Linked DNA regions of Saccharomyces cerevisiae S288C. The gene in region 2 interacts genetically with the main gene of each other region. Each region holds a gene or a part of one and is shown on either strand. Other genes may lie near its edges.

Region 1 (2,495 bases), on a different chromosome or scaffold from region 2:
CAAGTACCCATTGGCGCTATGAATTTCTACACCATCGGCGCCAGCCGCGATAGAATTCTTAGCCGCATGGATGTAATCCTTGATATACTGTTTAATGTCGTCTTTAGTCAAACTATGTTCGAGATTATTCGCATCTTTGGCCTTTTCTTGTAACGTAGCATTCATATACACTCTGTCAGATGCACAGTCATAGCGTAACCCGTCTCTTGCCAATACGTCTGGGAAGGATGCCCAGCCTAAAGACCAAAGTTGTACCCACGCGAACGACTGACAATCATGGATGGCTAAAAAGATATTCTTCCACTCAGCGACCTGCTCATCAGACCAAATCCCAGGGGCGTTGTCATAGCCGCCGGCTTGAGGGGAAATAAACGTACCTTCCGTGATGATCATGGTACCAGGTCTTTGAGCACGCTGACCATAATACACAGCAGCCCACTCCTTATTTGGAATATTTCCGGGGTGAGTGGCCCTCATTCTGGTCAATGGGGGCATAACCGCACGATGTGCAAGCTGAGTGTTACCAATCTTAATTGGTTCAAAAAGGTTTGTGTCTCTTAGGGAGATCGGCTCAAAACCTTTTACAAATGGCATCTTCTAAATTTAAACTTCGCTATACTGAACTACAGTTGTTGTATATATCAAGTACGTACTTTTTTGCATATGATGGGCAAGAATCAAGCACAGTTCACAACCCTTATATAGGTTCGAGTTGTCCTACTTACAACACTGTGCTTAGTAATGGTTATTGCGACTTTATCCTTGTTCTGAACGGAGTTATATCAGGAACGCAAACTGCTTACTAAGGAGCCCTTCTAAGGAGCCCTCCGCAAATAATAGGATCGGCAATTTCAGACGGAGGACGGAGCCGCCTAAGTGCCAAGAACATTAAAGAAGAAAGAAATAAACCTTGAGCGGCTACACGAAACAGTGGTCAAGAGTAGAATCTCTGAAACGTCGAACCCTCTTTGTCAGTTATCGCGGGCATATTCTGAGAAGAAGCAATATACAACAAACGAGCAGGACAGATTAAAATTTTCAAGGCGAGGTAAGCTGTGCCAGATCAGTGTGGGACGACGCTCAGTAGTTGGCGATCGAAGCACGTGATCAGTTTTCCACATCCGTGATTTGGCGCAAATTACCATGTGAGCGTGCGGGAATAAGCTCCTTTATTTGCGGAGCGACAAAGGAAACGAGACCATATTACCCTACCTTCCTTGTTTTATTTTACTTTTTTTTCTAATTTTAATTTTCTTCGTTCCTTCAACTGTATGTACCCTTTTTCTACCGGAAATAAGACGGTCGTAGTGTCCGCGTTTTTGGTTCTTTAACGACAAGACATCAGTGCCTTCTCGCATTTTTGTTGAATTGTATTGTATTATGCTCGATGTTTCCAGAACGATATATACATCTGAGAGTTTATATATCAACGATCATTTTCTTGTTGCAGTAAGCTATAATAGACGCGTCAAATAGTCTAACCAGTCTAAATCTCATCAGCCACACACACGTACATCGGAATATTATAGAGAACAAATGTCCTTCATTAAAAACTTGTTATTTGGAGGTGTTAAAACAAGTGAGGATCCAACCGGGCTCACAGGTAACGGGGCCTCAAACACAAACGATTCTAATAAAGGTAGTGAACCGGTAGTAGCGGGTAATTTCTTTCCTAGGACGCTTTCCAAATTTAACGGCCACGACGATGAAAAAATATTTATTGCTATTAGGGGCAAAGTATACGACTGCACAAGAGGGAGGCAGTTTTACGGTCCAAGCGGGCCATACACTAACTTTGCAGGCCATGATGCGTCGCGTGGTCTTGCATTGAACTCCTTCGATCTGGACGTTATTAAAGATTGGGATCAGCCTATCGATCCCTTAGATGATCTGACAAAAGAACAGATTGACGCACTGGATGAGTGGCAAGAGCATTTTGAGAATAAGTACCCATGCATTGGTACTCTGATTCCGGAGCCTGGCGTGAACGTATGACGATTGAGCTCCGCACATTATTTATTAATAGCAAACACCAAGGAAAGGGAAAAAGGAAGGGGCGTGGTGGACGATGATATATGTATACATATACATATCTATATTTTGAAAAAATCTTCTATATAACGGTTGTATAGAAATAATTACTTATTTATGAATTAGTACAAAATATACAAAGCATGCTGCTGTTCGGAACGTGACGAAAACAGTAGCTTAAACTGTATATTTTTTGTGATACTGTGCGGCTGAAACAGGGAACAATATCATTAGAACTGCACAAATGCTTCTCTAGGGATGCCATTCATGCTACTCTGAAAACCCTTTATGGCAACTTCATAGTTCCAGTTACTTTGCTCGGCCAACATAAACGTGTATTCTGCATTCAATTTCGTTTCCAAATGTAGTTTATTCAGCAGCTCGAGTTGTACGGGATTTAGCCGCGACTGGACATCTGGAGGTAGTTGCAAAGTGGGAGCCATGACCATGGCTCCTTGGGGTGC
Region 2 (4,928 bases):
TCATCACCATTGAAGTGGACATCTATCAGATGATCGATAACGGGCCAACCGTATGCGTTGGCAAACTTTCTTCGGACTATAATGTTGTTGTGAGCGTCAGGTTTTAAAGCAACGACAACCTTTCTCCATGCCATTCCTTCATGCCACCTTCGAGCAATCGTTTCTTCCAAATTTCGATACTTCGCACGTTCTTTCTTTCCTGCAAAAAAAGCCTGAAGGAGTATATTCTTTTTACCAAAAAAACCGTCTTCGATATCAAATTCGGATTGTGGAATGTCATCCTCATTGTATATCTTATCATGAATAATTACAGGATCTCTTGAATCTGGATCCATTATGTACGCTCTTTCAGGTAAAGGAGGAAGGAGAATTGAGCTTGCTGACTCGAAAAATGATACTTTAGGAATTTCGGAACCATTCTCCGTAGGAAACTTTTGTGGCGCCAGTATACTCAACATTTTAGTCAGAGGCGAAATGAAAGTTTTATTGAAGAAATCTTGATTCACAGGTGTTGAAGCATCATTTATTAGCGGTGATTTTTTGCTGTTCTCCTTTAGTTTCTGTAATTGCTCCAAGATATCATTATAGTCTAGGAACAATAGCGATGCGGTATACAATGGGACAATTCCGTCATTAATAGCGTTCGCATATACTGTCCTCCTTTTGAACCTACGCAAAATCTCTATCAAGGGCAGACCAGATAGCAAGTAGAGAAGCGGTTTGCCTACTTCAACATCATTTTCCAAACCCAAGTCTTGACCTGTTTTTCCAATAACCCCGAATGAAAGTAGTACTTTAATATAGGCGGGATTATCTGTGACTATACCTAAAAGCGGTGAAGCTAAAGTAATAAAATTTATTGGATTCACCTTTTTAAAAAACCAAGGGTAGACTTCATAAATGTACGCTATTGCGAAAGCCTGGATTAGGCCACCCAATGAATGACCTACAAAAGAAATCTTGCGGATGGATTCATCGTACAAATCCTGGATAATATATTCGGCCAAACGAGTACCTAAATACTTAACTCCCTTCTCAGTTTGACAGACATTTCCCCTATAACCTTTCACAACAATTTGTTCGTGGGGATAATTCTTTTGTGCTTTGTATATCTGTTCCATAATATACACTAGATCGGTCGACACATTAGAATGTAAACCATGTGTCAAAACTACAAGATGTTTCTTTTTCTGTGGTGTGGTAATCTGAACGGGAAGATTCCACAAATCCAAGGTAGTTAACCTGTTCACTGTAAGTTTAGGGCTATAAGAACCTAGATGAGATGGCAGATCATGCGGATTTTCTACTGACTCTTTACTAGTTCCAATAGTGACTTCGTAAGTGACGTTCGTATTTGTAGTGAACAATATTTGACTCATCACATCAGCAATCCATACGTATTTCTGTCGTATGTTATGTACTGAAAGTTCAGCCACGAAATCTTGTTGAGTTTGCACATTCGGTTCAAATTTGGGGTAATCAACTGAAGCAACTATTTTTTGGGAATGATGATATTGGGCAGTTTTTACATCGCAATAAAGCATGAATGGACCCATTAGGTACGCAGCTCTATACGATAACGGATTCATATTTCTCACCTTTAACCACAAGGAATTTAAATTCAAATCTGGTGGAATTTCCTCACCGTCATAAAGATGATAAGTAATTACATATCTCTCAAGTTCACCAACCTTCACTGAAGACTTGTAATGAAACAATATTTCATTAGTTGGTGTCAGAGACATCTTGAGCAAAACACGGTTCGTACTTCACTCTCTTTGTGTACTATTCTTACTGAACTGTTGAGGCGGTACAATTTATTTCACAGAGTTTTGCATATTTCGGGCATCTACTATGTGCGTCAGTTCTTACGTGGCGCAGAACAATAGAAAAGAAGATTTACAGAAGTGATAGATACGATATGATATTTACAAGAAACGAAAAGTTACGTTCGTCAGTTACTCTCCAATAATTCTTTTGCCCGTTCGGTGCTATCATATTTAGACATTGCCTCAATAACTTCGTCCAATCGTTCTCCAGATAACACACCTGGCAGGTCCAACAATGTGAACCCGCACCTATGATCAGTGATTCTGTTCTGTGGAAAATTGTATGTTCTAATTTTATCAGACCTATTGGTGCTAGAAACCTGACTCTTTCTTGCTTTTCTTTCTTTTTCCTCCTTTTCCAGCCTTTCCTTCTCTGCAAGTCTCGCTCTTAAGATCGTAAATGCTTTAGCCTTATTCTTGTGTTGAGATCTTTCATCTTGCATGGAAACAACAATTCCAGAGGGGATATGGGTTAATCTGACAGCAGAGTCTGTCGTATTCACATGTTGACCACCTTTCCCGCTTGCACGCATGATGTCAACTCTGATTTCACCAGGTTTAAATGTTCTTTCATAAGCGTCAATAGATTTAGCAGATTCGTCACCAATTTGAGGTAACACAACCACGGCAGCAGTGGATGTGTGCGTCCTTCCTTTAGTCTCCGTACTAGGAATTCTCTGCACCCTGTGAACGCCTGCTTCAAACCTCAAACGATCGTAAGATCCGGCTTCTTCAATGCTCAGAATGGCATCGATAATGCCTGACCCACTTTCGTTTTCATTTTTCGATATAATTCGATACTTCCATTTTCTATAGTTGGCATAGCCAATATACATATCCAATAGATTCTGGGTAAAAATCATGGCTTCAATGCCACCTACACCCGGTCGAAGCTCTAGTAAGCTAGGTTTATCTGCGAACGGATGCGGTGGAAGAAGTTTATTTACCAATCTTGAGGAGGTCGTTTCATATTGGGGGACCAGTTCTGCATATTCTTGTTCAGCCTCCGCCCTTAATGATGGATCAGATACAATCATTTCTTGTAAACTTTTCAATTCATTTAGTTTTTCCTTATACTCAATAAATGTATCAGTGAGCGCTGATAATTTAGCATAATGTTTCTGCTTATTCACGTCAAAATGAATGCCGCAAGAAAGGTCTTTGTCAAGATCTTTTAGTTCAGCTTCATACTTTTCCGCTTGCTTAACAAGTAACGGAGAGAGTTCTGTGTATTGTGTTGGGATGCTGCCGTTGCTCTTAGAGTTAGTCGTTGTTGATGTCAGTCGCACTAGTAACGGCAACTTGTGACCCAAAAAAACACCCTTAAAGATGGACCTCGAGGGGAACTGGAACTTTGAAAGCCACATGCTTGCACCAATGAAATATATTGTTCTGCTCTACGAACTTTTCATTCCTGAGATATTATAAAACATATGATACGCACTATTAACGCTCTGTATTTATCCTCCGAGCGAGCAAATCCTCCTAACAAGTATATGAAATACACAATTACTCAGCCTAGTACAGATGGCACAACGAGAAGTAACACATATATTTTCTGAGAGGCCTTATTGCATAATTATACACATATATTAATATCATGTAGTAAATAAATCACTAATAATTAAAGGCTTTTTCGCGAAATGAAGTAAACTGATAAGTGAAGAATACACAAATTTAAATATCTGCCGCTGGAATATCGCTATAATCGAATGGTAATTTATAATAAATTATTATGTCTCCTGATCTTCTTGAATCCCAGTGCGCAAGAGAGTTGAAGAATCTATTGTATTCAATGTATGATGAATCTTTCAGGAAATCCTTTAGAAATGCGTTTTCCATGTGCTCGAAAACAACCAAATATGTTGGCCATTCGTGGCTGTATGTTTTACCTGGACTCCTTAGATCCTTACGAAAAGGCGGTGGGAAATTTTTGTAAATGAATGCCGATATATCGTCATACAAATGGTCACTTTCATCCATGTAGGTCTCTAGTTTGGAGTAAGCCTCTGGGTCTCCAAGTAAATGCAATGGAGGGTTACAAGTAATCGACCACAGATCTTGAATGTCACTGCGGTGTAAATAGCTTTGACCAGGTGTCGAATGACAGGGCATTATGAATCCCAAACTATCTATTTCTGGCTCTTCATGTAAAAATTTCATAACTTCGATAGATCCAGATTCGTGGAATGTGTCCAAAAGTAATGCGATGAACACCGACACGAATGGAACAAGCCAGAGTAAAGATTTTAGGCCAGATAGTCTTTTCCAATAATCTCTATCAAGTCTCAAAAGGCCAAATGATGATATTAATATGAAAAGTGGCTGTAATGGGAAGATGAACCTAAATTCCTTATGAGGTAACGTAGAGTACACCAACAGATTCAACAAGATAGTGAGTTTCACTTGGAAAAACGGGTTTAAATACTTCTTTGGGAAACTCCTTTTGCTTAGTGGAAAAAATAATCCAAATGCAAAAGCGGGAATACTTGCACCTAATACGATAGGTAAGCTTTGAAAGAAATGAAAATGCCAAGGAGCTACCCCATAAAACTTTGATAATGGTGTTGTGAAATTGAATTTTAGAAATCGGAAAAAGGGAAACGTTACTTTTTCATAAAAATACATGTCGATAATTGCATTTGCAGTAAATACCAGAAAAAAAGACCGTAAAACTTTGGAAAATGTGATGAAAAGTAAATGATACTGCTTTTTGCCTACCAAGTTTAATATTAGGGAAATGCTGGGAATTACCCAAATAAGTCCACTGCTGGGTCTTTGCAAACATGCCAGAAATGCAAAAATAAGCGACTTAGTAAAAGATGACTCTTTTATCATTTGTCCGCCTGTCCAGTCCCAGTAGTAGAGGGCAATAGAAGTTAAAATCATTTCAAAAGAGTTGATGAACGTTCTTGTAATAAAAAAGCAATTAAAAAAATTAGTTAAACTTAAAAGCAGTGCAAACTTCGTAATCTCGGATAAACCGCTGCGTCTCTCCTCTTCCTCCTTCTCGTTTCTCTTATCAAGTGTAAGTAAATAGAGCTTTTGAACAAATCTTACGATATAATATTCCCCTATGGAAGCTAGTACTGCCATAAC

Evidence for each region. Genes that interact genetically often act in the same process or in processes that back each other up.
Region 1: mutations in MRF1 (region 2) and DAP1 together harm fitness more than expected from each alone (negative genetic interaction), as found in Saccharomyces cerevisiae (one large-scale study listed by BioGRID).

What each region holds. Positions count from the first base shown.
Region 1 is NC_001148.4:226,778-229,272, forward strand, and holds DAP1 (Dap1p), read left to right. Parts: upstream 1-1,536; coding exon 1,537-1,995; downstream 1,996-2,495. Other genes in the region: OYE3 (NADPH dehydrogenase), read right to left, coding at 1-594; MEX67 (Mex67p), read right to left, coding at 2,262-2,495.
Region 2 is NC_001139.9:232,763-237,690, forward strand, and holds MRF1 (Mrf1p), read right to left. Parts: upstream 3,197-4,928; coding exon 1,955-3,196; downstream 1-1,954. Other genes in the region: putative lipase ROG1, read right to left, coding at 1-1,745; GPI10 (putative glycosylphosphatidylinositol-alpha 1,2 mannosyltransferase), read right to left, coding at 3,507-4,928. UniProt on the Saccharomyces cerevisiae protein: Mitochondrial peptide chain release factor that directs the termination of translation in response to the peptide chain termination codons UAA and UAG.